Yarrowia lipolytica: one gene and its partner. The protein of the gene in region 1 purifies or fractionates together with the protein of each later gene. This does not show direct contact. Links are inferred from orthologs where the notes say so. Each region holds a gene or a part of one and is shown on either strand. Other genes may lie near its edges.

Region 1 (4,600 bases):
CTCGGCAATACCGGCGGAGGCTGGGTTAGACAATGTCACGGCATGGGAGGATGATGCCACAAGGAGCAAATGTGTGGCTGGAGGGGTTATGAGAACGTATGGGGTGAAGAGTGTAGCGATGGAAGAATGGTGTTTGAAACCGGTCAATCAGTTGATCTGGACCCCTGAATGATCCGGTAGGAGCTCCACGGGTGAATTCACACTCTTCCGGGCCAGTCTACTTCCTATCAAACTTGCTTATTAACGCTCTAGTTGATTGGTTCCCTGAACCCAGCCGTACGACAATACGATCAACGTAATCAGGGTCACTGAGAGGTGCGGTCGCTGGGCAGAGTGCAACCTCGTCAAAGTGTCTTGAAATCAACCACGGGAACCCCACAAGCGCCACCACCTTTTCCCATATATCACCCAACACAAGAGCGCACACGGCTGAAGAGACACAAGGGCGTGTTTCCAGAAGCAAGGAACAGAAACATATCATCGCCGGCCGCTGATAAAAAGACGGGGTGTGTTTGGCGCCCTGGTTCTGTTATTTTTCAATCCCTCCTCGCGACCTTTTTGTGGTCATATTCACATGCCACATGGGTCTGCGGTGGTGCCATGGTGACCGAAAAAAGGCCGACACCGGCGCGCATCCCAAGCGACCGGCTGAGAGCCCGTCGTTTTCAGGGGTCCAGGCGCCCACACCCACATTCAATACTCACCAGAACCGAGAACTCGGGCAGCACCAGACTGCTTCTTATCGGACGAAATAGGAGCCATTTGTTGGACGGTAGCGATGGAGACTGGAGAAGTGCAAAAGGTGTGGAGGGAAAGCAGACACTGATATACAGTTTGGGTTTTTCACCAAGACAAAAATTCCAAAGTGAGTCAGGATGCAGCTCCGAAGTTTCTCCAGAGGGGCAGCGATTGGGAACCAACAGCCAAAGTATCAGCGCTCAAACCAGGGTGTGTCTTGTGTGCGCAGGGGGAGGGGAGGGAGTCACGTGGCCCACCGTCCCCGGATTGCTCGGGATAGGCCACAAACGCCTCCGTGACGGCGCTCGACGGACCTGTTGTGCTGCTCACCAACTGCGATGCTGGTCATACTGGCCCTGTCTATCACCCGACAATTACCGTGCGAGATCCGAAAGTTTCCGACGCTCGGCCAAAACGCGGACCCCCGCCTAATTATCCGGATAGCGCCCAACCGCGCAAAGATAGCAGAGGCGCGTGTGCCATGGGCGCTGCAAGGGCTGTTGTGGTGGCTTTTGCCGCCTCCTGGTTGGCCAGTTTCGGCAACTAAAATCTGATAACGTTGGTTAAAGTTTCAACTACAATAGTTGCTCAACGTGAGAAAGGTGGAGAAGCCAACGGTCGGGGTTTTCCGCGCCAACAAGGGCCAATTTCGGAGAAATGCGGTGATAAAGCGGGTCTTTTTGTGAGCGACAATTGATTGTGGACATTACGGGCTCGCGGCCATCGCATATCCCATCCATAATTCCGCCTCGTGCTACCTCGGCTCATTTCCGGAGAGCTAATCTCCACGAACTTTAATGGTCTACGTCAGAATCGAACGTACGATAACACTTGTAGTTGGTAAAAATTAAAAATAAATAAAATAAAAAATAAAAATAAAATAAAAATAAAAATAAAAAGAGCAGGAATCGAACTGGAGAGAGAGCAAAACTTGAAAAAATAAAATTAAAAAATTAAAAAAAATTAAAAAAAATTAAAAAAAAATGCCACCAGACAAGAGCCATACACTAAAAGTTGGAGGACAAGTACAAACAGCACGTACAGTACATTGTAGATATATAAAGGGTTAGGGGAGAAGTGGAAATGGGAGCGCAAGTTTGATGGATGGCTTTTTTCTTTTGTTCCTGCAATTCGCCGTTCAATTCGCACCGTGGTTGATAAGTCAGCACTCTTGCAACTTTGCTGGTCACATGACTAAATATTAAAGTTTTTTCAGGCCGTGCATCCATCTGCAAGACTCTTTCCTCCTCGTAGTATCAACGTCAGCGACACTATATATGTAATGTCCGAGCTGGATGAGATTCGAGAGGACTACCTGTACGCTCTGGAGGAGCTGACGGGGGTCCAGAAGCCCATCATCACCAACCTCACGGTGATTGCCGAGGAAAACAGACACGCTGCCAAGGCCATTACCCGAGCCATTGAGGAGCGAATAAGTAAGGTGAGTAGCGGAGGAACCACAATGAGGAGATGCCGACGACAAGGACGAGATCAAAGGACACAGAGCGACCTGAAAACACCGGTGCCGGCCACACGGTACGCCGACTCTTGCTCTATCCCAGTGACGGTGTTTAATAAGGCGTATGGTGTCATGTTGGTGATCATGTGCTGCGACTGTGGTTATGGGTGGCGTTAACATGAAGCTTGGGACAGGTTGACGATTGATTTTGCAACGTGGCACATGTATACAACCTCTGATCCATCGATTGGCTTGGTCCAACTCGTGTGATGGAGTTTGTATCTCCAGGCTGTCGTTATGTCTTCGAGACAACGATGTGATTAGTGACTGACGAGAGATCATACTGCGAATGACGACACATCAATAATCTTTTCCATATGCCACCGCCGCCTATATCTATCTCTACATACTAACCCAGTGCGCTCCAGAGTACAAGCTGCCAGCAATGTACCTGCTCGACTCCATCTGCAAGAACGTAGGAGCACCATACACAACCTGCTTCGGTATCAACTTGTACCGCACTTTTGCCGACACATACACCCAAGTTCCCGAATCGATCCGACGAAAACTGATCGAGCTGTACGGCACCTGGAAAACGTCGGCCACAGGCGGCATGCTGTTCCCAGCAGAACCCATGCGAAAGATTGCCTCTTTTCTGGAACGAATCAACGAAGTCACATCACGGGCCACGCCAAACCCCGCAACCCCCAACCTGGGCACCCCCAACCCCGCTACTCCACCTCTAGGCACTCCAGTTCTCGGCCAAGGAGGTTTCGGAGTGCCCAATGCGGGCCTGACACAACCCCAGCTGCTGGAGAAGTGCAGCCACGTGATCGACATGACTTCTGACCGTCTACAACATATTCCAGGCGACGTCGATGCCAAGGAACGGATTCCTGTCCTCAAACAGCTACAGGCCGTTCTTCAGTCCCAGGCCATTCCTGTGTCGTACCTGTCCAATATTGAGGCTCAATTGGCCTCTTCTCTAGCCCATGAGGAGAAGAAGCTTGCTGAATACGAAGAAAACGAGCGACTAAAGCAGCAGCAGCAGCAGCAGCAGCAGCAACAGCAGCAGACGACACCAAGCAACTTGCTAGCTTCCCTACAAGCCGCTGGCTTGTTAGCAGGAGGTATACCTGGTGGAATGCCTGGAATGCCTGGTATGCCTGGAATGCCTGGAATGCCGGCTATGCCTGGTATGCCTGTTCCACCCATGCCTATGCCTGGTATGCCTTTTCCCATGTTTCCTAACCTTGGTACTGTTCCTGCACCGGACATTAACTCTCTGTTGGCCTCTGGTGCCTCTTCTTTGCTGTCTTCCTTGGAGTCTAACGACGTGGAACTTTCTACGTCTTCTCTGCTGAAGCCTCGCCCCAATCTGGTATTCAACCTTTACGGCAAGATGCCCAAGGTGTGCAACATTTGTGGGCGGCGGTTCCGAGATAATCAGGACCATGCCCGTATGCAGCACATGGACTGGCATTTCCGAATCAATAAGAAGATGCGCCAGGACGAGGGACGAGCTCAGAACAGACGGTGGTACCTGGCCGAGCATTTGTGGGTGGCAGGAGAGCAAAAGGAGGAAAAAGAAGAAAAGGTGCAAAAGGTGGACATGGAAAGTGTCAAGAAACAATGGGTTCTGGCTCCCAGCAGTGCTTCTAAGAAGAAGCAGGTTTGTCCCATTTGCACAGGAGGCTTCAACACGGAACTCAGTGATGAAGCTGAGGACTGGGTGTGGACAGACGCGGTTCAGGTTGGAGATAAGATCTTCCATGCCACATGTTATGCTGAGAGTGGAAAGCTGGCAGAGAGCCTGGTGAGAAAGAGGAGAGGAGAAGATAGAGAAGGAAGGACAAAGAGGGAGAAGGTGGAGCTCGACTACTAATCCGAGCAACATCTCTCACCCTCCCTGATCAGGCCCTGGCTGCAGAAGAACCGCCAGCGCCATCAACAGAAACAGAAACAGAAACAGTCAGAAGATCCAGACCTTTTCTGACACACAATCGCATTCTTTGATACTAGATATTAAATAATAAAACGTGCGGGTATCTATCCGTATGATAACAAATGAAGTGGCACTAGTGTACAAGTACAAGTAGGTCAACAAGTAGATACAGCCAACTGGCCAGATAATCCTGTACATTTCGAGTAAGACGGACAACAAGGACGAAGCCCATGGCGTTCCGGAAGCCTGTTGAGATTTCTGAGCAAGCCACTGGTCCTGTTTGCGACAATTACAAATCAATAAACAAGTAATTGTACTTGTAGCCATTGGTCATCTAGATAATCAGACAATGACTGTTCTCTCTCTTTTCAGACTTTTCTTTCTTGGGTCTAGTGGAACTGAAAAATCGTGGAGGAGACTAAATCTGAGCTCTTTATATCGCTAGGGTGTCCGTTGAT
Region 2 (5,707 bases), on another chromosome or scaffold:
GGCGACCTCCAAGGTCTCATGGAGACGATGCAGAGTCTGAATCTCGACCAGAAGAAAACCATGGAGCACATTCAGGAGGGTATTTTCACACTGGCGGATCTCAGAGACCAGATGGGCAACATGCTCAAGATGGGATCGTTGTCCTCCATTGCTGGCATGATTCCGGGACTCTCGGGCATGGCGTCTTCCATTTCCGACGAAGAGGGTACCCGTCGAATCAAGCGAATGATCTACATTCTCGACTCTATGAACCAGAAGGAGCTGGATTCGGATGGATCCATTTTCAAGGAGGTGCCTTCTCGTATCACACGAGTTGCCCGGGGCTCGGGAACCTCCATCCGGGAAGTCGAGGAGGTGCTTCAGCAGCAGAAGATGATGGCCTCCATGGCGTCGCGAATGGGCGGCAAGAACGGCATGATGTCACGAATGCAGAACGCCCAGAACAACCCTGCCCAGATGGCTGCAGCTCAAAGACGGGCCCAGCAGATGATGGGCGGAGGAGCCGGAGGAATGCCCGGCATGGGAGGAATGCCTGGAATGGGCGGTATGCCCGGAATGGGTGGAATGCCCGGTATGGGAGGTGGTATGCCTGACATGAGTGCTCTGCAGGGCATGTTCCCTGGAGGAATGCCTGACATGGGCCAGATGATGAACATGGTACAGAACAATCCTCAGATGAAGGCCATGGCGAGAAGTATGGGTCTCGGCATCTAAGCAAAGAGCCTAGACGGCCAAGACGAGTAACGAGTCTTGGTGAGCTAGCACGAGGAGCGCAGCGCTGTCTTTGGGCAATGTGCCCCACTGTGTGAGACAGTCTTTTGTTTCCTCCCTGCTAGAGAAATCTGTGAAGAGGAACTCACAGAGCATTAATATTGTGTATAGTTGAATTATTTGGATTGGATGGGTACTGTAGAGTGTTGTGGAGCGAGCCATCAATGTGATAAATCACGTATATCATCTTATAACGGCGAATGTCCTCCGTCAAACATGTTGGGGTGTCCAGAAATGGAGAATTTATTATCACAACAGGTGGGTTTTTTGGACTGAAAAGATTCAGCGGCCCTGGAGTACACGCTGATTCTAAAGTCGTTCATATTGGTCCTTTTTTCAGCGAGTTCGAAACACCACCCCTAGCCGTGCGGCTCGGAAATTACCTTGCCCAAGTTTTTAATTATGGTGATGTTGCGTTGCGTCGGGTCGATCTATTTCGTGCTGAGTTCAGATGAATGAGGGATCTAAATGTTGGTGATTGAAATTCTTCATAAACAATTTTGGTATCAAATTACTCCTGGGAATCTCAAGAAGACAATGGTGCAATTAGGGGACTATTATGTTTATTATTGGCAGAGATATAGCTATAAAACATTAACTGTTGGAAGTTGACCAAATAAGAAACCGAAAAACATAAAACAGATCAAAACAGGGCTATAATAAACCCACAGACAATTCCCCATCTCTGAAAAATCTCTATAATCCCTTTTGGGCCCCCATCTGTCCTGTCTCCTCCAGCCAAATAAAGTTCATCTGCGAGACTACATTAAGTTGTGAACATTTCGAAAACAGTGTGTAACCACCAAACAGAACAACCAGTTGAAACTCGGATCATGGCTGAAAAACGCGAATCGCAGGTGAGTATTTGAAGTCACGTGATGGTTGGACGGTTGGAGCCAACCACGTGGAGCCCAGCGCGACGAAATGCGACAATTCGCAGAGAGATATGACCACGGACGGAGGAAATGGCGGTACAGGCCGCCGCCGTAGACTTGAGTGGATGACTAGCGATGAATGGATGGATGGACTGGCAGAGAGAGAGAGAGAGAGAGAGAGAGAGAGAGAAGGAGAGAGAGGAGAGAGAGAGAGAGAGAGAGAGAGAGAGAGAGAGAGAGAGAGAGCGGCAGGGGACCAGGTCACGTGACCAATCATGTGATCTGCAGTCTGACACTGACTACAGCCTGTCTCATGGGGACGGAGGTATGGTGACTTAACGTGCAGTACCGTCCAGGTGTAGACGATAGCAGGTGGAGGATGGCGCGGTGGAGTGGGCAGATCATGTGCTTCAGAGTGGGTCACTTTCTACTCGTGGGTCACTTTCTACTCGTGGGCAACTTTCTACTTGTGAGTCACTTGCTACTCGCGGGCCACTTTCTACTCGTGGGCAGACCTCGTGCTCAGAAAGGTCAGCTCATGTACTGAGACGCCGAGGCTGTTTGTGTGGCGATTTTATGGTTCTTGGTTGTTTGTACCATTCAGTCTGTGTCACTTGAATAGCCACGATCCCCCCTACACTCGTGAAAAGCAGTTCCGTGCTCTCTGTTCACAATACTGCGGCGTTTTCTTCTCTGTTAGACTGACCCATCTCCCAGCGGTTGCTCCCCCGTATGAGGGTGTGTCTAGTACTCTTCCATGCTGACCGCCCAATTCACCACTTCTGCGTTATTGTCATTGTCAAGTCGCCTAAAAATCCCCTACATCTTGTCGATAATTGTCAGCATGTCAGACTAGACGTTCTGCCTACAGCAATCCACAGGCGACCACCAAATCTGCAGTAGCCACTGTCAAGTTATTGATCGCTCAAGATTTCTTCTGTTGGTACTGACTGAATTGCCAGTGCTGAATCCGACTACGGCTCTTTGGGATCTCATTTGTCTACGATATATCAAATATTTGTCAGGGCCAGACTCACGGCTCCTCTTTTCAGTTCCCGCTAACCCAGACCGACGACTCCGACACATTTTCATTCGTGGCGCTCGGAGGTGGCCGAGAAGTTGGCCGATCATGTCACGTCATCTCGTTCAAAGGCAAGACTATCATGCTCGATGCCGGCGTGCATCCTGCCCATTCCGGCCTCGCCTCCCTGCCTTTCTACGACGAGTTCGATCTCTCAACCATTGACATTCTTCTCATTTCACATTTCCACCTGGACCACGCTGCTTCTCTCCCTTATGTGATGCAGAAGACCAACTTCAAGGGCCGGGTATTCATGACCCATCCCACCAAGGGTATTTACAGATGGCTCTTGTCCGATTTTGTGCGAGTCACCTCTGGAGCCGAATCGGACCCAGATCTCTACTCGGAGGCCGACCTCACCGCCTCGTTCAACAAAATTGAAACCATCGACTACCACTCCACCATGGAGGTTAACGGAGTCAAGTTCACAGCGTACCATGCCGGTCACGTGCTCGGAGCAGCCATGTACACGATAGAAGTCGGTGGCGTCAAGGTGCTGTTCACCGGCGATTACTCTCGAGAAGAGGACCGTCACTTGAACCAGGCCGAGGTGCCGCCCATGAAACCAGACATTCTCATTTGTGAAAGCACATACGGCACCGGAACTCACTTGCCGCGTCTAGAACGTGAGCAGAGACTGACGGGACTGATTCACAGCACACTAGACAAGGGCGGAAAGTGTTTGTTACCAGTATTTGCTCTTGGACGAGCCCAGGAGATTCTTCTCATTCTCGATGAGTACTGGGAAGCCCACCCTGACCTCCAGGAGTTCTCCATCTACTACGCCTCTGCTCTGGCCAAAAAGTGTATCGCTGTTTACCAGACTTACATCAACATGATGAACGACAACATCAGAAGACGTTTCCGAGACCAGAAAACAAACCCGTTCCGGTTCAAGTATATCAAAAACATAAAGAATTTGGACCGTTTCGACGACATGGGTCCCTGTGTGATGGTGGCGTCTCCTGGAATGTTGCAGAGCGGTGTTTCGAGGTCTCTGTTGGAGAGATGGGCACCTGACCCGAAAAACACGCTCATTTTGACGGGTTACTCGGTTGAAGGAACTATGGCGAAACAGATTATCAACGAGCCTAATGAGATCCCCTCAGCTCAGAATCCGGACCTGAAGGTTCCGCGACGTTTGGCGGTGGAGGAGCTCTCGTTTGCTGCCCACGTGGATTTCCAGCAAAACTCTGAGTTCATCGATCTCGTGGATTCCAAAAACATCATTCTGGTCCACGGTGAGCTCAACAACATGCAGCGTCTCAAGGCTGCTCTTTTGGCCAAGTATCGAGGCCTGAAGAACAGTCCTAGAGAGAAGACCATTTACAATCCTCGAAATTGCGAAGAAGTCGAGCTCGCGTTCAAGGGCGTGAAGGTGGCCAAGACGGTTGGCAAAATGGCCGAGGAAAAGCCGCATGTTGGTCAAATAATTTCTGGAGTGGTTGTGCAGAAAGACTTCAATTACGGACTCATGGGCGTTGCTGACCTGAGAGAACACGTTGGACTGTCAACCTCTTCCGTTCTGGAGCGACAGACTGTGACGGTCAACGCAGGAGTGGATCTGGTCAAGTACCATCTCGAACAGATGTTTGGATACGTGGAAATGAGAGAGACGGAGAACGTTAAGATTGAGGAGATGGAGGACGACGTGGCTGAGGAGGAGGAGGACAAGGAGGTGAAACAGGAGGTAGAAGATGTGACCATGGAGGGTGAAGTCAAGGATGAGACCGCGGAGGAGGTCAAGAAGGAGGAGGAGGTTGCGGAGGAGTTCAAACAAGAGGTTGAGGGTGATTCCGACACTTCTGCGGGAACCACATTCGTCGTGATGAACTCGGTCACAGTGAAACACACTCCCACAAGTTGCACCATTGAATGGGTGGGTTCCTGTCTCAACGACTCCATTGCCGACGCTGTTCTGGCCATTTTGCTGACAGTGGACAACTCCAGAGCGTCGGTGAAGATGTCTTCCAAGCAATGTGCCCATTCTCATGGCCATGAAGACGGCCACTCAAACTCCTCTCTCGACGAACGAGTTCTGCAGCTGTCTTCGATTCTGAAAGCTCAGTTTGGAGACTCGTACATTGTTTCTGAGGATGGCAAGTCGGCCAACATCAAGATCGACGCCATGGAAGCCACGATTTCCTTCTCTGATTTGTCTGTGACCGGCTCACCTCCTCCTCTTGTTCAGAGAGTCCAGGTGGCTGTCGATCGGGCCATTTCGCTCGTCGCTCCTCTGGCTCAGAAGCTGTCGGCCGTGGACCTGGTTGAAGGTTTCAAGGCCATTGAGAATGTCAAGGATAGGGAAGAGAATGGGGAGGTGAAGGCAGAAGATGAAGAGAAAGTCAAGGCGGAGGAGAAAGTCAAGGAGGAGGAGTAAATAGTATCGAGTTTGATGTACCCAATATACAGACTGTAATATGAAGCGTTCGTAGATGATGCAAAGAAACAGGACTGCCACCAGTCTCTGCAAAACCCCTCGGACCAATCTCCTCAGTCCCACCTCTCAGACTAACCGGCCAGTCCAGTTTAACCCTTCCCCACATCACCGGACCAGCCAAGGGATGGATCTAAATCTCTTTTAGTGAGTTCTTTCACGACAAGACCTTTCTTTGGAACAAAAATCTCGAGAAGAAAATGGACGAAAATGGTACCAAAATTGTTCCCCTGACTCTTTGAATCTTTTCAGACCTTCTTGGTTTTCGCTGGTTCTGATATTGAGCGAGTTATGAGTGCATTAGAGAACGGACATCCATAACTAGTGGGTTAGACAAACTTAAGTATAAGTTCAACTGGATTTACTTGAGAAGCAACCAAAGAATGAATATATCACACCAGAAGAGCAGTAAGTATTTCTGTAACTGGGTTTTTAATAGGTAAAGTACTTCTTTCAAATCAACTGATGTAGTCTGTTTTGTATTTGCTTGTCTGGTTCGACTGATAAGGACCCCCAGCACACTTTTTTACTCAACTATTACCA

What was found.
Region 2: the proteins of YALI1_C20180g (region 1) and YALI1_F05624g purify together in Saccharomyces cerevisiae (affinity purification with mass spectrometry; 4 studies listed by BioGRID, with this or other methods). This does not show direct contact. The link is inferred for Yarrowia lipolytica from reciprocal best matches to the Saccharomyces cerevisiae genes PCF11 and YSH1.

The regions. Positions count from the first base shown.
Region 1 is NC_090772.1:2,016,028-2,020,627, reverse strand, and holds YALI1_C20180g (uncharacterized protein), read left to right. Parts: upstream 1-2,020; coding exon 2,021-2,179; intron 2,180-2,615; coding exon 2,616-4,082; downstream 4,083-4,600. Other genes in the region: YALI1_C20198g (uncharacterized protein), read right to left, coding at 1-20, 705-762. UniProt on the Saccharomyces cerevisiae protein: Component of the cleavage factor IA (CFIA) complex, which is involved in the endonucleolytic cleavage during polyadenylation-dependent pre-mRNA 3'-end formation and cooperates with cleavage factor NAB4/CFIB and the cleavage and polyadenylation factor (CPF) complex.
Region 2 is NC_090775.1:559,468-565,174, reverse strand, and holds YALI1_F05624g (uncharacterized protein), read left to right. Parts: upstream 1-2,025; coding exon 2,026-2,115; intron 2,116-2,713; coding exon 2,714-5,107; downstream 5,108-5,707. Other genes in the region: YALI1_F05661g (uncharacterized protein), read left to right, coding at 1-714. UniProt on the Saccharomyces cerevisiae protein: Component of the cleavage and polyadenylation factor (CPF) complex, which plays a key role in polyadenylation-dependent pre-mRNA 3'-end formation and cooperates with cleavage factors including the CFIA complex and NAB4/CFIB. Has endonuclease activity.